3 linked regions of the Anolis sagrei genome follow. The protein of the gene in region 1 binds, or shares a complex with, the protein of each later gene. Links are inferred from orthologs where the notes say so. Each region holds a gene or a part of one and is shown on either strand. Other genes may lie near its edges.

Region 1 (7,170 bases):
ATACATTTACATTGAGGAATAAATGAGATTATAATTATTTCATCAGAACCAGACATTCCATCTTAAATTATGTCAGGTATTCCTGTGGTTATCCCTGCACAGGAAAAAAAAATGCAGTTTGAACGGAAGATGCAGGGTTGGGGCAAGCCTCCCCAGTTTTGCCATTTTGCACCCTGTCTCTACTATTGGAGTCTTTAATGGAGCAGATGGTTCTCCGTGCCCACTAATTCAACCACCTGTGTCTTGATTTTGCCATTTTATATAAGGGACACAATTTTGCAAGGCCATTTTAGACAATGGGATTTGAGCATGTATAGATTTGGGTCTCCATGTGGGGTTCTGAAACCAAACCACAAAGATCCCAAAGGCCCAATTTTTTATTCCAGGACTATAAACACTGGCCCTTCTCAAAACAAAACACCTGTCTTCCCAAATAATAATATTTCAGGATTATGCACTGTTAAGGCTGCATACAATTCCGGCTGCTAGGAATTGTGGGATTTGAAGTCCAAAATGAAGTTTGCCCATGGCTGCTATATACCGGGGGGAGGGGGGCTTTGCATATAAACAATGAGTCTCCATCAAGGCAAGACATGACTCCCCTTAATAATAATAAGAAGGAGGAGGAGGAGGAGAGAGGGTTCTGTATATAAACAATGAGTCTCCATCAAGGAAAGACATGACTCCCCTTAATAATAACAATAATAATAATAAGGGAGGGGGCTCTGTATATAAACAATGAGTCTCCATCAAGGCGAGACATGACTCCCCTTAATAATATTAATAATATTATTATTATTATTAATAATAATAATAATGGAAGGAGGGCTCTGTATATAAACAATGAGTCTCCATCAAGGCAAGACATGACTCACCTTAATAATAATAATAATAATAATAATAATAATAATGGAAGGAGGGCTCTGTATATAAACAACAAGTCTCCATCAAGGAAAGACATGACTCCCCTTAATAATAATGGAGGGGGGGGGGCTCTGTATATAAAAATGAGTCTCCATCAAGGCAAGACATGATGATGATGATGATAATAATAATAATAATAATAATAAGGGAGGGCTCTGTATATAAACAACGAGTCTCCATCAAGGCAAGACATGACTCCCCTTAATACTACTACTACTACTACTACTAATAATAATAATAATAAGGGAGAGGGTGCTCTGTATATAAAAATGAGTCCCCATCAAGGCAAGACATGACTCCCCTTAATAATAATAATAATGGAGGGGGGGCTCTGTATCTAAACAATGAGTCTCCATCAAGGCAAGACATGACTCCCCTTAATAATAATAATAATAATAATAATAATAAGGGAGGGAGGCTCAGTATATAAACAATGAGTCTCCATCAAGGCAAGACATGACTCCCCTTAATAATAATAATAATAATAATAAGAAGAAGAAGAAGGGAGGGCTCCATATAGAAACAATGAGTCTCCATCAAGGCAAGACATGACTCCCCTTGATGATGGTAATAATAATAATAATAGGGAAAGCTCTATATATAAATAATGAGTCTCCATCAAGGCAAGACATGACTCCCAATAATAATAATAATAATAAGGGAGGGAAGGCTCTGTATATAAACGAGTCTCCATCAAGGCAAGACATGACTCCCAATAATAATAATAATAATGGAAGGAGGGCTCTGTATATAAACAATGAGTCTCCATTAAGGCAGGACATGATAAATAATAATAATAATAATAATAAGGGAGGGCTCTGTATCTAAACAATGAGTCCCCATCAAGGTAAGACATGACTCCCCTTAATAATAATAATAAGGGAGAGGGGCTCTGTATATAAACAATGAGTCTCCATCAAGGCAAGACATGATAAATAATAATAATAATAATAATAATAATAATAATAAGGGATGGGAGGCTCTGTATCTAAACAACGAGTCTCCATCAAGGTAAGACATGATTCCCCTTAATAATAATAATAATTATTATTATAATAATAATGGGAGGAGGGCTCTGTATCTAAACGAGTCTCCATCAAGGCAAGACATGACCCCCCTTTAATAATAATAATGGAGGACTCTATATATAAACAATGAGCCTCCATCAAGGCAAGACATGATAATAATAATAATAATATTAATAATAAGAGAGGAGGCTTTGTATATAAACAACGAGTCTCCATCAAGGCAAGACATGACTCCCCTTAATAATAATAATAATAATACCCAGGATTATAAATTGTGTGAAGTTACTCTGTATATAATGACGAAAGGCTTTGAAGACACTAATTATTATAATTATCACTATTATTCCAAGAGCATAAATGGCTAGACCTTGGTGGGGCGCCAGTGTATAGGGACACCAGTCACACTCAAGACACGTGTCTCCCCAAATTGAATTAAAAAAGATTACGAATTGGTGAGAAAAATATGCAATATTGGACAAACTTGGGCCTTGCAGGAGTTTTGGACTCCAACTCCCACCATTCCTAACAGCCTCAGGCCCTTTCCTTTCCCCCCTCAGCCGCTTAAGCGGCTGAGGAGGGAAAGGAAGGGGCCTGAGGCTGTTAGGAATGGTGGGAGTTGGAGTCCAAAACTCCTGCAAGGCCCAAATTGGCTCAGGCCTCCTGTATATCAACACGACTTTCCCAAATAGTAGTGCTAAGGTTGTCTGCCTCGAGTGGGCGGCCTCACCGACGCTCCTGTAGCCCAGGATGGCGATCTTACGGGACTTGGACGGCGGCATCTTCTCCCCGCTGGGCCCCGAACCACATCAAGGGCTCCGGCCTCGACGGCGGCAGCAGCGAAGAAGCGGGGGAGGGAAAATATAGATATATACAGATATAAAGAGCGCCTTCGGAAGGGTTCTCCCTCCCTCGCGGCCTGGTCTCCGACTTGAGAGAGAGAGACCACACACTGGAAGTGGAAGGAAAGGAAGAACGTGCCGATCTCTGGCTCTCTCACTCCTCGACTGACTGGCTCGCTGAGGCGACGCAACGGACGCCGCTTCTGCTCACGTGACCTCCGGCTGCGCGCGCGCGCTCTCCTCTGCCTCCGTTTGCCGCGGTGACGTCACGGAGAGGGGCGTGGTTTGTTTACGCCCACTTAGAGAAAAAAATATAAAATATTTCGCTGCCTCATTCCATAGTCCCCGCCCCCTTCACATACGTCACGGGAAGCGCGAGCGGTGATTGGACGGAGCCAGTGCCGTTGCAAAACACAAACACTTCCTATTGGTTTAAATCCTTTTAAACCAATAGGTTTAAGTCGCTTCCTATTGGTTTAAATCCTTTCGCCGCTCCCGCCTTTTCGTTTCGTCATTGTAAACGGGAACTCTGGTTGGCCCGCTCCGATGCTTGTCTTTTAAAGAAAGAAAAGGAACGCTGGTATTGAATTGTTCTTTGGTCCCGCCCTGCTGTTATGTCACCACAAGTCGGAACGCTGGTTGGCCCGCTCCGATGCTTGTCTTTTAAAGAAAAAAAGGAACGCTGATTTTGTCCCGCCTTGCTGTTACGTCACCACAAAGGCGAACGCTCATTGGCCGGCTTCGAAGCTTGTCTTTTAAAGAAAAAGGGAACGCTGACATTGGATTGTTCTTCGCTCCCGCCCTCCTGTTACGTCACCACAAGCACGAACGCTGATTGGTCGGCTCCGAAGCTGGTCTTTTTAAATGAACTCTGAAATTGGATTGTTCTTCGCGCCCGCCCTCCCGTTACGTCACCATAAGCGCGAACGCTGATTGGCCGTCTCCGAAGCTTGTCTTTTTTAATAAACTCTGAAATTGGATTGTTCTTTGGTCCCGCCCCGAGGGTTACGTCACCACAACCGCGAGCGTTGGTTGGCCGGTTCCGAGGCTATTCTTTTAATGAAAAAAAAGGAATGCTGGCATTGGATTGTTCTTCGCTCCCGCCCTCCCGTTACGTCACCATAAGCGCGAACGCTGATTGGCCAGTTCCAATGCTTGTCTTTAAAAAAAATGGAATGCTGGTATTGTACTTTGGACCCGCCCCGAGGGTTACGTCACCACAACTGCGAACACTGATTGGCCGGCTCCGAAGCTTGTCTTTAAAAGAAAAAAGGAAGCTGGTATTGGATAGTTCTTCGCTCCCGCCCTACTATTACGTCACCAACAGCACGAGCACTGGTTGGACGGCTCTGATGGCATTCGATTGATCCCGAGGTCTTTCTCTATTGGCTAAATCACTCAATGGCAGGTTATAGAGGACGCGCGCTCTCTGATTGGTGGGAAATGGGGTGAGGGCGGGGGCTCGATTGCGGAAGGAACGAGGCGGGCGTGCACGTGGTGGGCAGGGGCAAAACATTCTGAGCTCGAACTATGGAATACTAGGCGTTGTTAACGGGATGTCGAACTGCATTAAGTTTGGAGTGTAGATGCACCCTTGTACATATAGGGTAAAACGCCTGTCCTCTGTAAGAGAGAGCTTGAAGTGCATTGGCTTAAAGGGGAATCCATCCTTGAACCATTTTTCCCATACATGTCAATGTAAACAGCCTATATTGCATAATTAATGCAGTTTAATGTATTGTGGAAGGCTTTCATGGCTGGAATCACTAGGTTCTTGTGGGGGTTTTTCGGGCTATATGGCCATGTTCTGGAGGCATTTTCTCCTGACGTTTCGCCTGCATCTGTGGCAAGCATCCTCAGAGGTAGTGAGGTCTGTTGGAATTAGGAAAATGGGTTTATATATCTATGGAATGGCTAGGGTGGGGCAAGGAGCTCTTCCCTGCTGCAGTTAGGTGTGAATGTTTCAGCTGACCACCTTGATTAGCATTTGAAGGCCTGGCTGAGCCTGGGAAAATCTTTTGTTGAGAGGTGTTAAGATGTGCCTGGTTGTTTCCTCTCTGCTCTTTTGCTGTTGTAATTTTAGAGTTTTGTTCATTTTCATGGTCTCTTCCTTTCTGTTGAAATTGTCCACATGCTTCTGGATTTCAATGGCTTCTCTGTGTAGTCTGACATGGTGGTTGTTGGTGTGGTCCAGCATTTCTGTGTTCTCAAATAATATGCTGTGTCCAGGCTGGTTCATCAGGTGCTCTGCTATGGCTGACTTCTCTGGTTGAGTTAGTCTGCAGTGCCTTTCATGTTCCTTGATTCGTGTCTGTGTTTGGTGGTCCCTATGTAGACTTTTCCACAGCTGCATGGTACACGGTAGACTCCTGCAGAAGTGAGAGGATCCCTCTTGTCCTTTGCTGAACGTAGCATTTGTTGGATTTTCTTGGTGAGTCTGTAGATTGTTTGTAGGTTGTGTTTCCTCATCAGCTTCCCTATGCGGTCAGTGGTTCCCTTGATGTATGGCAGGAACACTTTTCCTCTGGGTGCATCTTCATCTTGACTCTCGTGGCTTGTTCTCCAAGAACAAGCCATGAGAGTAAAGATGAAGAACCACCCAGAGTAGTAAACAATCTGGGACATCTAATCACCTCTCAACAAAAGATTCCCCAGGCTCAGCCAGGCCTTCAAATGCTAATGAAGGTGGTCAGTTGAAACATTTACACCTAGCTCCAGCAGAGAAGAGCTCTTTGCCCCACCCCAGTCATTCCACAGATATGTAAACCCATTTTTCTAACTCCAACAGACCTCACAACCTCTGAGGATGCTTGCCATAGATGCAGGTGAAATGTCAGGAGAAAATGGCTCTAGAACATGGCCATATAGCCCGAAAAAACCCACAAGAACCTAATGCAGTTTATTTATTTCCAGCATTTCTATCCCGTCCTTCTCAACCCCCATGAGGGGACTCAGAACGGGTTGTTGTAGGTTTTTTCGGGCTATATGACCATGTTCTAGAGGCATTCTCTCCTGACGTTTCGCCTGCATCTATGGCAAGCATCCTCAGAGGTAGTGAGGTCTGTTGGAACTAGGAAAAAAGGGTTTATATATATGTGGATTGACCAGGGTGGGACAAAGGACTCTTGTCTGATGGAGCTAGGTGTGAATGTTTCAACTGACCACCTTGATTAGCATTTGATGGCCTGGCAGTGCCTGGGGCAATCTTTTGTTGAGAGGTGATTAGATGTCCCAGATTGTTTCCTCTCTGTTGTTTTGCTGTTGTAATTTTAGAGTTTTTTTAAATACTGGTAGCCAGATTTTGTTCATTTTCATGGTTTCCTCCTTTCTGTTGAAATTGTCCACATGGTTATGGATTTCAATGGCTTCTCTGTGTAATCTGACATGGTGGTCGTGAAAGTGGTACAGCATTTCTGTGTTTTCAAATAATATGGTGTGTACAGGTTGGTTCTGGGACATCTAATCACCTCTCAACAAAAGATTGCCCCAGGCACTGCCAGGCCATCAAGTGCTAATCAAGGTGTTCAGTTGAAACATTCACACGTAGCCCCAGAAGACAAGACTCCTTTGTCCCATCCTTGTCCCACCAAGCCTACAACCACCCAGTGATTCCGGCCATGAAAGCCTTCGAAAATACATTGGACTTAGGACGGCTTACATTTGGCACAATTTGATGCCATTAAATATAACAAAGCAATATAACAACAATTAAAACAATAAATAGAACATTAATTAAAACAATAACAGTATTAACCACTGTATCACCATTCCAGTCAAATTCTATATCCAAAGCACTATTTATGCTTGCTGTCCAAAAGTCTGGTCCAAGAACCATGACTTCAATTTCTTCTTAAAAGACAGGAGAGATGAAGGCGATCTTACCTTGTTGGAACGCGAGTTCCACAGCCGAGAAGGCCCTGTCTCTCGTCCCCATCAGACGTATTTGCAACGCTGGTGGGAGTGAGAGCAGGGTCTCCCCAGATGATCTTACACTGCAAGACATAGAGGGAGATGCTCAGGCGGGGCGGCTACAGCTGAGAAGGCCCTGTCTCTCGTCCCCGCCAGAAGTATTTGCGACTGGCGGGAGTGAGAGCAGGGCCTCCCCGGATGATCTTAAACTGCAAGGCGGGACATAGAGGGAGATGCTTTCAGACAAGTAAGCTGGGTCAGAACCATATAGGGCTTTATAGGTCAAAACCAGGGCTTTGAATTGAGCTCGGAAGTGGATCGGCAACCAGTGTGCTCCAGTTTGTAATCTGGCTGCAGCCTGTTGGGCTAGTTGATGTTTTTGAACAGTCTTCAAAGGCAGCCCTACATAGAGTGCGTTGCAGTAATCTATTTGGGATGTAACAAGAGCATGGACCACTGTTGCCAGATCA
Region 2 (7,681 bases), on another chromosome or scaffold:
GTTTCAATATATTGGAAGTATATTGGCCAATTACCAGCTTTACCATATGCATGCCAATTACGCAAAAATAACGTAATATCCTTAAATATCCACAGGACAGAGAACTTCAAATGAGGTGAAGCCATTAATAATTGGAAACGCAATAATAATAATAATAATAATAATAATGCTTTACCTGTACATTATAACTCCCAAATAATAATAGTAAAACTTTATTTGTCCAATATCACGTCCTAATAATAATCATAATAATACATTATCTGTACAATATAACTCCCAAATAATAATAGTAAAACTTTATTTGTGCAATATCACGTCCTAATAATAATAATAATAATAATACATTATCTGTACATTATAACTCCCAAATAATAATAGTAAAACTTTATTTGTGCAATATCACTTCCTAATAATAATAAAATATTATCTGTACAATATAACTCCCAAATAATAATAATAATGGGCAAATATATAATATATAACATTACAAATATATAATGTTTCTCATCTGCCAATAATAAAAGATATATATAAAAATAAAAACATAATAAAATTAAAATGTAAAATAAAAGCATAATAAAATAAAAATAATACTTTATCTTTACAATGTAGCTTCCAAATAATAAATCTGTGTAATATAACTCCATAACAATAATAGTAATACTTTATCTGTACATAACTCCCAAATAATAATAGTAATACTTTATCTGTTCAATGTAACTTCCAAATAATAATAATAATAATAATAATAAGGGCCAAATATATGATATATAACATTACAAATGTATAATGTTTCTCATCTGCCAATAATAAAAGATATATATAAAAAAACATAAAAATATAATAAAATTAAAATTAAAATGTAAATTAAAACGGTGCTTCGGTCCCGGAGGTGACTTCGGCAGCCGTGATACTGCATCACATAATAAAATAAAAACAATAATACTTTATCTTTACAATGTAGCTTCCAAATAATAATAATAATAATAATAATAAATCTGTGTAATACAACTCCATAATAATAATAACAGTAATACTTTATCTGTTCAATATAACTTCCAAATAATAATAATAATAATAATATATTATCTGTTCAATATAACTCCCGAATAATAATAATAATAATAATAATAATAATAATAGGGGGTTAGGGGCAAATATGTAATACATAACATTACAAATATATAATCTTTCTCATCTGCCAATAATACAAGAAAGATATACACACACGTATTTGTGTGTTTGTGTATATATAAACATAAAATATATAATAAAAGAAAAAAGAAAAATATAAAATAAAAGCATAATAAAATAATATAATATGATAAAATATAATAATAATATAAAAACTAACTCTCCAAACTCCCTTCCACATTTACTGGTGCTAGGGACACAGGACCCCCCCCCCCCAAATGTAACTTTCCAAATATATCATGTTTCTCATCTGCCACAAAGTCAAATTCTAGTGAGAGTCAGGAGGACAGATGGCCACAACTGCTCCCGGAAGCCCTGTCCTTCCGCCATAGCCAGGCCCCTTTCTGACCCTCGTTCGGTCACCTTCTGGCAGCGGCTTCATGGCGTTGGGTTTGACGAAGAGTTTGGGGACGAAGGGGGTGTTGGAGTTGTCCACTTTCTCCCGGAACCTGAGCTGCGGGCGCAGGATGTTCCTGGCGTGGAGAAGGCGGAAGGTTTCGGGCCGGGACCGCTTGCTAGCCTCGCTGCTCTGCTGGGAGGAGACATGGGCGTTAGCACAACATCACTCCCACATAATATGTAAACAGAAGGAAGAGGAGGTTCACCTTGCGGTTCCAGCTGGAAACGATGGTCTTGGGAGGCTGCAAACCCAAAGGCAGGACCGGCTGCTGGTTCTTGTTCACGCCGGCCGCTTCATCCAAGAGCGTGCCCTGCAATTATGAAGCCATACAGTCGGAAGGGACCCCCAAAGGCCATCCAGTCCAGCCCCCTCCTGCCACCCAAGCCCTCCAACTTATACAGGGCGATCGCACTCACCACGCGCTCCAAAATGGCGTCGTTGGCATCCACCAGCAGGTCGAACTTGTCCTCCAGCTCCGTCACGGTGCTCCGGTCCCGGAGGTGACTTCGGCAGCCGTGATACTGCATCACTTTGCTCATGCTGGGAAATGGTACAGAATACAGCTTCGTAAGAGTCATGTCTACATATTGGGAAGAAGGTCCTAAGGAGGAGGAAGCAGGTTTGCTTTCTCCAGGATTCCAATTTTCTATAGCCTTATGAAGCTTCCAATGTCTGAGAGGCTGGATAGCCATCTGTCAGGAGGGCTTGGAAGGTGCCCCCTGCCTGGCAGAAGAATAGGGTTGGACTGGATGGCCTTTGGAGGTCCCTTCCAACATTCGATGCAAGACTCACCATTGGAGAAGCCGGTCTCCTTGCGTCTCACAATAGGCCTGGAAGCCAGGAAAGCTGCGGTAGAAGTCGTACTCGTCTCCCGGCTGTGGGAGGCCATTGGAGGCCTTGGTGACAGAGACCACAGAGCCCAGGGCATGCTGGGAAGCAAGGGCAGGACAACCGTCAGGAAAGGAAGCCTTGGGAACTCAAGGTAGATAGTTCAGCCTACAATTATCTATCTATCCAGTTCCACCTCTATCTATCAATTTCTACCTCTATCTATTTATCTATCTATCTATCAACTTCTACCTCTATCTATCTATCAATTTCAGCCTCTATCTATCTATCTATCCAGTTCTACCTCTATCTATCTATCAATTTCTACATCTATCTATCTATCCATTTCAGCCTCTATCTATCTATCCATTTCTACCTCTATCTATCCAGTTCTACCTCTATCTATCTATCTATCTATCTATCAATTTCTACATCTATCTATCCAGTTCTACCTCTATCTATCAATCAATTTCTACCTCTATCTATCTATCTATCTATCCATTTCTACATCTATCTATCCAGTTCTACCTCTATCTATCTATCAATGTCTACCTCTATCTGTGTGTATATATGGAAAATAAATTATAAATTATATATATATATATATATATATATATATGACAAAAATATGAATAAAATGGGAAAATTACATTATATATAAGTATATAGCATATGTATGGTGGAAATTAGGGTATAATATATAGACATTGGAAAAATAAATTATATATATATATATATATATATATATATATATATGAGGGAAAAACGTATAAAATGAGAATAATTATATAAACCATATGTATGTATATATATGGAAAATAAATGATAAATTATTAAATATATATATATGAGGAAAATATGTATAAAATGGGAAAATACATTATATATACATACATATATGCATGGTGGAAATTAGAGTATAATATATAGAAATGGGAAAAATAATATATATATTATTTACTTTATTTATATACCGTTTTTCTCAGCCCTCAGATGGCTATATGTATATATATGAGGGGGAAATTGTATAAAATGGGAATAATTATATAAACAATGTGTGTGTGTGTGTGTGTGTGTGTGTATGCAAAATTATTAAATTATTAAATATATTTATGAGGAAAATATGATTACAATGGGAAAATTACATTATATATAGGTATATATGTATGGTGGAAATTAGAGTATGATATATATAAATGGGAACAATAAACTATATATATACATATGGAAAAATTTGTATAAAATGGGAATAATTATATAAACTGTGTGTGTGTGTATGGAAAATAAATTATAAATTATTAAAAATATAAAAATAAAAAGGAAATGTTCATTTTTCAGACCTACACCTCCCAGAATCCTCCTCTCCAAATGGGGGAAAAATAAATGAATGTAAAATATAATTATTTATATCACACACTCAATATAAAACTAACTGATGGATACGTATTATATTAAGATCATAATATAATTCTCTATGGGGAAAATAAGTTAAGACAAATTAAAATAAATATATTAGAATGCATATAAAATTAATAAGCAGAGATTACACTAACACAATATAATTACTGTATATTTAATATATTTAATTTGAAATAAATCAATATAAAATAACAAAAATAACAAAATTTTATTTCAATTCAATATTAAAATAAAAAGATTCCCTTTGAGGGGTAAAACCCAAGCCCAGCAGACATAAAAAGGAAATAATAGGTAGGAAAAGGTCCTTTTGGAGGACTACACTTCCCAGAATCCTTTAAGTGAGGCCTAAGATTCATGAATTGGGCATTCTTCCCTGAAAACTACAATTCCCGGCATGCTTAGCGCGCGCATGCGCTCTCCCGCTGGGGCCTTCTCCTCCCTCAAAACTACCTTCACGAAGGCATCTGCGTCCCCAAATCCGGGCAGGACGAAGCCTTCGCGGTCGGTTTCCATTGCCGTCGCCTCGTCGGGGCCGCTCAATCCTTCCTTCGCCGCCATTTGCCGCTTTTTCTCAGCGAGCGCCGCTTCCTTCTCTCACACAGCCGCCATCTTGGAAAAGAAAGCATACTCCCGCTGAATCTCGCGAAATTTCCCAGAGACGCATTTGATTGGTGTTTCCCTAATGCCGATCTTCTTTATTCTTTCCTTTGATTGGTCTATTCCCAGAAGCCCCTCCCTCGCGCTGAGCGGAGGCGGAGAAGGAAAGGTTGTCTTCGTGGTGGGCAGGAACCAACGCCCGTCACTCACCCTAGCCGCGCCTTCCTATTGGTCTGTTTAGTATTTCGAAGAAGCTGATTGGCTAGTCAAAAGAACGGGGTGGCAAAAGGCGAAGATGAGACTGAGGAGAGAGGTGAGTCGAAAAAAGGTAATTTTTGGGAAGTAAAGAGGACATTTTGGGGGGCAATTCCCCTTCAGAAGGTTTCCCTCAACGAAGGGGAATGTCCACCACGGAATTTACCTCACAATTTACCTCAGAACAGCAAGAATATCCTTTGTGAGGTGAGTGATCATGAGAGCAGGGATAATAATAATGTTAATTACTATTAGATAACAATAATATAATAGTAATTAACAACAATAGCAGGTCTAACATGGCCACGAATATTAATAATGATAATAAAAATAGTTATAATAGTATTAATAACACTAATAAAATGGCTGATAGGGAAGAGGATAATAACAACAACAACAATAATAAAGATAATAATGTAATGAGGGCAATAGCAATAGGGTAATAATAATAATGTAATGGCAATAGCAGTAGGATAATGATAATAATAATAATGTAATAAGGACAATAGCAGTACAATAATAATGTAATAATAATAGCAGTACAATAATAATAATAGTAAGGTAATAACAATAGCAGTAGGATAATGATGATGATAATAATAATAATAAGAAGAAGAACTAGTAGGATAATAATGTAATTACAATAGCAGTAAGTAATAATAATAATATAATAATAGCAGTAGGGTTATAATAATAATAAGGTAATAATAGCAGTAGGATAATGATGATAATAATGATGTAATTACAATAGCAGCAGGGTAATAATAATGTAATAAGAACAATAGTAGGATGATAATAATAATGTAATAAGAATAGCAGTAGGATAATAATAATAATGATAGCAGTAGAGGAATAATAAGAATAATGTAATAAGAATAGCAGTACAATAGTAATAATAGTAAGGTAATAACAATAGCAGTAGGATAATGATGATGATGATAATAATAATAAGAAGAAGAAATAGTAGGATAATAATGTAATTACAATAGCAGTAGGTAATAAGAATAATGTAATAAGAATAGCAGTACAATAATAATAATAGTAAGGTAATAACAATAGCAGTAGGATAATGATGATGATTATAATAATAATAATAAGAAGAAATAGTAGGATAATAATGTAATTACAATAGCAGTAGGTAATAAGAATAATGTAATAAGAATAGCAGTACAATAGTAATAATAGTAAGGTAATAACAATAGCAGTAGGATAATGATGATGATGATGATGATGATAAGAAGAAGAAGAAATAGTAGGATAATAATGTAACTACAATAGCAGTAGGTAATAAGAATAATGTAATAAGAATAGCAGTACAATAGTAATAATAGTAAGGTAATAACAATAGCAGTAGGATAATGATGGTGATGATGATGATGATAAGAAGAAGAAGAAGAAGAAATAGTAGGATAATAATGTAATTACAATAGCAGTAGGTAATAAGAATAATGTAATAATAATAGCAGTAAGGTTATAATAATAATAAGGTAGTAATAGCAGTAGGATAATGATGATGATAATAATAATGTAATTACAATAGCAGCAGGGTAGTAATAATAATAATAATCATATAAGAACAATAGTAGGATGATAATAATAATGTAATAATAGCAGTAGGATAATATTAATAATAGCTGTAGAGGAATAATAATAATAATGTAATAAGAACAATAGTAGGATGATGATAATAATAATGTAATTACAATAGCAGTAGGATAATAATAAGAATAATAATAATAATAATAGCAGCAGTAGAGGAATAATAATAATAATAATAATGTAATAAGAACAATAGTAGGATGATAATAATGTAATAATAATAGCAGTAGGGTAATAATAATGTAATAATAATAGCAGTAGAGGAATAATAATAACAATAATAATAATAATAATGTAATAACAATAGCAGTAGGCTGATGATGATGATGATGATGATAATAATAATGTAAGCAGAAAAATAGCAGTAGAGTAATAATAATGTAATAAGAACAATAGCAGGATAGTAATAATAATAGCAGTAGGGTAATAATAATGGAATAATAGCAGTAGCGTAATAAAGATGATAACAATGTAATAAGAACAATAGCAGGATGATAATAATAATAATAATGGAATAACAATAACAGTAGAGTAATAATAATAATGTAATAATAGTAGGATAATAATATTAATATAATAACAATAGCAGTAGTATAATAATGTAATAATAGCAAGAGGGGAATAATAATGTAATAAGAAAAAATAGGATAATAATAATAATTAAATAACAATAGCAGTAGGATAATAATAATGTAATAATAACAGTAGGATAATGATGATAATAGTAATAATGTAATAAGAAAAATAGCAGTAGGATAATAATTAATTGCAATAGTAGTAGGGTAATAATAATAATAGTAATAATGTAATAAGAACAATAGCAGTAGGATAATAATAATAATAATAATAATAATAATAATAGCAGCAGTAATGACACTGCTGCCAAGGATGATGATGATGATGATAATAATAATAATAATAAAGATAATACTAATAATGTAATAAGAACAATAGCAGGAGACTAATAATAATATTAATAACACTGCTGCCTACTCGGATCTGCACGCATTATTCGCCGATACATCACATAGTCCTAGACATTTGGAAAGTGTCCAATGTGTGATCGAATACAAAAGCCAGCAGAATTATCTTGTTTGTTGTGTACCAGTCCTGTTGTGCATCAAATAATCATAATAATAATATTGATAATAATAGCAAGCCTGCTGCCGAGGATGGCGGCACTTGCTGTGTTACGTTGCGGCCTTTTTCTTCCTTTGGCTTTTTCAGAATGGTTTCCTTCTGTTTCCAGGACCCTAAAGAACCCCATAGATTCTGATCCACCACCGCCACCATGTCGGGGACCGTCATTATCCTCCAGCAGTTTGCCACCGGCCTCAAGAGCAGGAATGAAGAAACCCGGGCAAAAGCGGCCAAAGACCTGCAGCATTA
Region 3 (6,832 bases), on another chromosome or scaffold:
TTGTTATTATATTTATATCTGCCATTTATTGTTATTATATTTATATCTGCCATTTTTATTATTATCATCGTAATTATATTTATATCTGTCACTTATTATCATCATCATATATTTATATCTGCCATTTATTACTGTTATTATATTTATATCTGCCATGTATTATTATTATCGTTATATTTATATCTGCCATGTATTATTGTCATTATATTTATATCTGCCATTTATTATTATTATTATACTGTGATAATAATATATTATAATTATCATTATATAGCCGGCAGGACTGAAGACCGGAAGGTTGGAAGTTCAACTCCGGGGACAGCGCGGATGAGCTCCCTCTGTCAGTTCCAGCTCCCCATGGGGGACATGAGAGAAACCTCCCAAGGATGGTAAAACATTAAAACATCAAAACACCTGGGCGTCCCCTGGGCACCGTCCTTGCAGACAGTCAATTCTCTCACACCAGAAGCGACTTGCAATTTCTCAAGTCGCTCCTGACATGAAAAAAAATCATTATATTTATGTCTGCCATTGATCTCCAGTGCAAAAAAGTGAGTTTCACTTGAGTTTTGATCTCAAGTTAAAAAAATGGGGAACCTTAGATACAAAGGAATACGGTAGTTTATTATTATTTCCTCTGCTATTTATTATTCTTATTATTTATTATTATTTATTTAAAACTTTTATATCCCGATCTTCTCACCTCCTTGACTCAAACCGGCTTACAGCAAGGATTCAATGCTAATAGTATTATCTAAAAACATCATATAATAACAAGTTAAAATACATATCGATTAAAATTACAAATAAGCCAAATCGCCAAGATAAAATCATGTCCAACTCAGTCCGTTTGTGTGGTCGATAACTTTGTTCTGTAGCCGGTTTCATCCATTACTTTGGGAATGCTTCCTTCCATAGCCAAGATTTCACCAGCCTCCTGAAGGACAGGAGGGAGGGGGCATATCTGATCTCAATTGGGAGAGAATTCCATAGCCGAGGGGCCACCACAGAAAAGGCCCTGTCTCTCATTCCCACCAGATGCGATTGCGAAAGTGGTGGGATTGAGAGCAGGGCCCCACCAGAAGATCTTAATTGTCTTAGTGGTTCATATAATTATATTTGTATCTGCCATTTATTATTATTATTATTATTATTATTATTATTATTATATCCACCTTTGATCTCACGTGAAAAAAGGGCAGGTTTTGATACAAAGAAATACGGTAGTTTGTTTAAATTGTTATTATTTCCTCTGCCATTTATTATTATTATATTTATTTATATCCGCCTTTGATCTCATGTGAAAAAAGGTCAGGTATACAAAGGAATACGATAGTTTATTATTATTTCCTCTGCTATTTATTATTATTATTATTATTATTATTATTATTATATCTGCCCTTTATTATTATTATATTTATATCCGCCTTTGATCTCATGTGAAAGAGATCAGGATTTGATACATTTAAATTGTTATTTCCTCTGCCATTTATTATTATTATATTTATTTATAGCTGCTTTAGATCTCACGTGAAAAAAGGTCAGGTATACAAAGGAATACAATAGTTTATTATTATTTACTCTGCTAGGTTCTTGTGGGTTTTTTCAGGCTATATGGCCATGTTCTAGAGGCATTTTCTCCTGACGTTTCGCCTGCATCTATGGCAAGCATCCTCAGAGGTAGTGAGGTCTGTTGGAAATAGGAAAATGGGTTTATATGTCTGTGGAATGACTGGGGTGGGACAAAGAGCTCTTCTCTGCTGGAGCTAGGTGTGAATGTTTCAACTGACCACCTTCATTAGCATTAGAAGGCCTGGCTGAGCCTGGGGGAACCACCTCAACTGGGCTCTCCAGGCCAATGGAGACTCCACCTCAGACATCAGAAGAGCTGCAAGACCCAGAACAAGCCACAAGAGTCAAGATGAAGATCCACCCAGAGGAAAAGTGTTCCTGCCATACATCAAGGGAACCACTGACCACAGAGGGAAGCTGATGAGGAAACACAACATACAAACAACCTACGGACCCACCAAGAAGATACAACAAATGCTTCGTTCAGCAATGGACAAGAGGGATCCTCTCACCGCTGCAGGAGTCCACCGTGTACCATGCAGCTGTGGACAAGTCTACAGAGGGAACACCAAACGCAGCATCGTTGCCCAAACACGAATCAAGGAACATGAAAAGCACTGCAGACTCCTTCAACCAGAGAAGTCAGCCATAGCAGAGCACCTGAGGAACTGATCTGGACACAGCATATTATTTGAGAACACAGAAATGCTGGGACCATGTCAGACTCCACAGAGAAGCCATTGAAATACACAAGCATGTGGACAATTTCAACAGAAAGGAGGAAACCATGAAAATGAACAAAATCTGGCTACCAGTATTAAAAAAAACTCAAAAATTACAACAGCAAAACAGCAGAGAGTAAACGATCAGGCACATCTAATCGCCTCTCAACAAAAGATTCCCCCAGGCTCAGCCAGGCCTTCTAATGCTAATGAAGGTGGTCAGTTGAAACATTCACACCTAGCTCCAGCAGAGAAGAGTTCTTTGTCCCACCCTGGTCATTCCACAGATATATAAACCCATTTTCCTAGTTCCAACAGACCTCACTACCTCTGAGGATGCTTGCCATAGATGCAGGCGAAACGTCAGGAGAGAATGCCTCTAGAACATTATTATTATTATTATTATTATTATTATTGAAGTAGCCTCCCATATTCCCCCATATCCCCCTCCCTCTCCCCTCCCAAGCAAGGCTTCTGTACCGTAATTCCCCGAGCAAACCCGCAGGAGCTGGGCCTCCATCCCTGGCCTCCTCGTTCCCCCGCTTGCTTTCTTTCCTTTCTTTCCTTCCTTCCCTGGGATACAGCTTGAAGCCCCTGAGGATCTCCTTGGCGCGCTCCTCCTCCTCCTCCTGGCCGGACATGGCTCCTCTGGGCCGGAGAGAGAGGCGCCTCGGACGCCCCGACGCCGGCGGAACCAGCCCTCCACACAACACGCCCCGCCTACTACGCCCCGCTCGACCAATCCCAGCCGGGGCTTCCCCACACAGGCAGCGCCGGCGGCCAATCCGAGGGAGGCTCCCTTCCCCGGCTCAGTCGCTAAGGAAGAGACGCCCCAGCAACCGCAGGAGAGAGTGAGGGGCTGACGGGTCTCGCCGCGGGACAATCTCCACCGAGAAGCGAACGCTATGGCTCGAAATGGGCAATGCTAGGAAGGCGTAGAGAAGAGCGCCCCCTGGTGGACAGAGCAGGGCACGGAGGATTGGGTGAATGGGTTGTTGTAGGTTTTTTGGGGCTATATGACCATGTTCTAGAGGCATTCTCTCCTGACGTTTCGCCTGCATCTATGGCAAGCATCCTCAGAGGTAGGGAGGTCTGTTGGAACTAGGAAAAAGGGTTTATATATCATAGAATCATAGAATCAAAGAGTTGGAAGAGACCTCATGGGCCATCCAGTCCAACCCCCTGTCAAGATGCAGGAATGTTGCATTCAAATCACCCCTGACAGATGGCCATCCAGCCTCTGCTTAAAAGCTTCCAAAGAAGGGGCCTCCACCACACTCCGGGGCAGAGAGTTCCACTGCTGAACGGCTCTCACAGTCAGGAAGTTCTTCCTCGTGTTCAGATGGAATCTCCTCTCTTGTAGTTTGAAGCCATTGTTCCATTGCGTCCTAGTCTCCAGGGAAGCAGAAGACAAGCTTGCTCCCTCTTCCCTGTGGCTTCCTCTCACATATTTATACATTGCTATCATATCCCCTCTCAGCCTTCTCTTCTTCAGGCTAAACATGCCCAGCTCGTTAAGCCGCTCCTCATAGGGCTTGTTCTCCAGACCCTTGATCATTTTAGTCGCCCTCCTCTGGACACATTCCAGCTTGTCAATTTGTTGTTGTTGTTCATTCGTTCAGTCGTCTCCGACTCTTCGTGACCTCATGGACCAGCCCACGCCAGAGCTCCCTGTCGGCCGTTACCACCCCCAGCTCCCTCAAGGTCAGTCCAGTCGCTTCAAGGATGCCATCCATCCATCTTGCCCTTGGTCGGCCCCTCTTCCTTTTGCCTTCCACTTTCCCCAGCATAATTGTCTTCTCTAGGCTTTCCTGTCTCCTCATGATGTGACCAAAGTACTTCAACTTTGTCTCTAGTATCTTTCCCTCCAGTGAGCAGTCGGGCTTTATTTCCTGGAGGATGGACTGGTTGGATCTTCTCGCAGTCCAAGGCACTCTCAGAACTTTCCTCCAACACCACAGCTCAAAAGCATCGATCTTCCTTCGCTCAGCCTTCCCTAAGGTCCAGCTCTCACATCCGTAGGTCACTACAGGGAATACCATGGCTTTGACTAGGCGGATCTTTGTTGCCAGTCTGATGTCTCTACTCTTTACTATTTTATCGAGATTGGACATTGCTCTCCTCCCAAGAAGGAAGCGTCTTCTGATTTCCTGAATTGTGGTGCCCAGAATTGGACACAATATTCCAGGTGTGGTCTAACCAGAGCAGAATAGAGCATGGGGAGCATGACTTCCCTAGATCTAGACACTAGACTCCTATTGATGTAGGCCAAAATCCCATTGGCATTTTTTGCCGCCACATCACATTGTTGGCTCATGTTTAACTTGTTGTCCACAAGGACTCCAAGATCTTTTTCACACGTACGTTTTCACAAGTTGTTACCTTTTAGAGAAAGAGATATGAATGAAATCTTATTTCTATATAAGATTCGTTTGTGGGATAAACATAACTCAAAAAACACTGGGCGAATTGACACCAAATTTGGATACAATACACCTAACAGTCCAAAGAGTGACAATCACCCCTAAAAACACACAACCCCCCCCAATTTAAACCATATATACATACACACATACATTCATATACATGTACACATGCACACATACATACAGACACACACACATATATACATGCCAGCATGGACAAATATACATATATACACAGACATACATATACACCTCTATACATATACATCCTAACCCCCCCCAAAAATAAACCATATATACATATACACATACATTCATATACATGTACACATGTCCACATGCATACAGACACACATACATATATATATATATACGCAAGCACACACAAATATACACATATACACACACATACATATACACCAATATTCATATACACCCTAAAAAACCCCCAAAATAAACCATATATACATATACACATACATTCATATACATGTACACATGTCCACATGCATACAGACACACATATATATATATATATATACGCAAGCACACACAAATATACACATATACACACACATACATATACACCTCTATACATATACACCCTAACCCCCCCCAAAATAAACCATATATACATATACACATACATTCATATACATGTACACATACATATAGACACACACACACATATATATACACAAGCAGACACAAATATACATATATGCACACACATATACACACCTATATATATTATAATTATTTATATATAATTATTTCTATATAAGATTCGTTTATTATTATATGATAATTATTTATATAATATTTCTATATAAGATTCGTTATTTATATGTAATTATTATTTATATATAATTATTTCTATATAAGATTTGTTTATTATTATATTATAATTATTTATATATAATTATTTCTATATAAGATTCGTTTATTATTATATTATAATTATTTATATAATTATTTCTATATAAGATTCGTTATTTATATATAATTATTATTTATATATAATTATTTCTATATAAGATTCATTTGTGGGATAAACATAACTCAAAAAACACTGGGCGAATTGGCACCAAATTTGGACACAATACAACTAACAGGCCAAAGAGTGACAATCACCCCTAAAACCCCAAAAAAACCCCAAATAAACCATATAAACATATACACATACATTCATATACATGTACACATACATACAGACACACACACATATATATGCAAGCAGACACAAATATACACATATACACCTATATACATATACACCCTAAAAAGACCCAAAATAAACCATATATACATATCCCGGAAGCACACACAAATATACACATACACACACATATATATACACCTCTACACATATACACCCTTAACCCCCCCCCCCAAAATAAACCATATATACATATACACATACATTCATATACATTTACACATGTACACATACATACAGACACACACACACATATACATGCAAGCATGCACAAATATACATATATACACACACATACATATACACCTCTATACATATACACCCTAAAAAGACCCAAAATAAACCATATATACATATACACATACATTCATATACATGTACACATACATACAGACACACACACACACATATATATATGCAAGCAGACACAAATATACACATATACACACACATACATATACACTTCTATACATATACACTCTAACCCCCCCCCCAAAATAAACCATATATACATATACACATACATTCATATACATGTACACATGCATACAGACACACATACATATATATATATACACGCAAACACACACAAATATACATATATACACACACATACATATACACCAATATACAATATACACCCTAAAAACCCCCAAAATAAACCATATATACATATAAACATTGTGCTGTTGCACGCTAGGCCTGTGCATAAGACTGTAGACAGGACATAAATTCCGTGTGCCCAACGGGACACCCGGGCTGCCTCAGATTAAAGGCCCTTGGATTTCCTTAAAACAGAGTCTTTAGATTGCTTAAAGGTTCAACAAAGTTCTTTATTAATGAAAACAAACAGGTACTTTAAGGCTTTCTTAACAGTCTATTGCAGTGGTTCT

The links. The genes of interacting proteins can lie anywhere in the genome.
Region 2: the proteins of RHEB (region 1) and MTOR are in contact, whole or in part, in a cryo-EM structure (PDB 6BCU), measured with the Homo sapiens proteins. The link is inferred for Anolis sagrei from reciprocal best matches to the Homo sapiens genes RHEB and MTOR. Residues at the interface, in NP_005605.1 of Homo sapiens: Lys5, Ser6, Arg7, Lys8, Arg15, Pro37, Ile39, Glu40, Thr42, Gln57, Ala62, Asp65, Tyr67, Ile69, Gln72, Thr73, Ser75, Ile76, Asp77, Asn79, Asp105, Met106, Val107, Gly108, Lys109, Val110, Ile112; in NP_001373429.1 of Homo sapiens: Arg62, His69, Glu73, Ala101, Thr102, Ile104, Gly105, Arg106, Asn109, Tyr110, Arg112, Asn113, Phe140, Glu143, Tyr144, Phe147, Glu154, Arg160, Thr969, Gln973, Phe977, Lys980, Glu1010, Phe1011, Gln1014, Met1018, Ser1050, Thr1051, Asn1264, Lys1293.
Region 3: the proteins of RHEB (region 1) and PDE6D are in contact, whole or in part, in a crystal structure (PDB 3T5G), measured with the Homo sapiens proteins. The link is inferred for Anolis sagrei from reciprocal best matches to the Homo sapiens genes RHEB and PDE6D. Residues at the interface, in NP_005605.1 of Homo sapiens: Pro2, Gln3, Ser4, Gln57, Asp77, Gln176, Gly177, Lys178, Ser179, Ser180, Cys181; in NP_002592.1 of Homo sapiens: Ile53, Leu54, Cys56, Val59, Val80, Gln85, Cys86, Leu87, Glu88, Glu89, Trp90, Ile109, Glu110, Ala111, Ala112, Pro113, Gln116, Met117, Met118, Leu123, Tyr149.

Annotation. Positions count from the first base shown.
Region 1 is NC_090026.1:122,292,541-122,299,710, reverse strand, and holds the start of RHEB (GTP-binding protein Rheb), read right to left. Parts: upstream 3,006-7,170; 5' UTR 2,732-3,005; coding exon 2,680-2,731; intron 1-2,679. UniProt on the Homo sapiens protein: Small GTPase that acts as an allosteric activator of the canonical mTORC1 complex, an evolutionarily conserved central nutrient sensor that stimulates anabolic reactions and macromolecule biosynthesis to promote cellular biomass generation and growth.
Region 2 is NC_090033.1:7,029,671-7,037,351, forward strand, and holds the start of MTOR (serine/threonine-protein kinase mTOR), read left to right. Parts: upstream 1-4,671; 5' UTR 4,672-4,751; exon of another isoform or gene 4,752-4,766; intron 4,767-4,777; exon of another isoform or gene 4,778-4,900; intron 4,901-7,541; 5' UTR 7,542-7,583; coding exon 7,584-7,681. Other genes in the region: EXOSC10 (exosome complex component 10), read right to left, coding at 1,558-1,726, 1,800-1,904, 2,011-2,134, 2,387-2,523, 4,292-4,399. UniProt on the Homo sapiens protein: Serine/threonine protein kinase which is a central regulator of cellular metabolism, growth and survival in response to hormones, growth factors, nutrients, energy and stress signals.
Region 3 is NC_090023.1:266,472,503-266,479,334, reverse strand, and holds the start of PDE6D (retinal rod rhodopsin-sensitive cGMP 3',5'-cyclic phosphodiesterase subunit delta), read right to left. Parts: upstream 3,011-6,832; 5' UTR 2,936-3,010; coding exon 2,877-2,935; intron 1-2,876. UniProt on the Homo sapiens protein: Promotes the release of prenylated target proteins from cellular membranes. Modulates the activity of prenylated or palmitoylated Ras family members by regulating their subcellular location.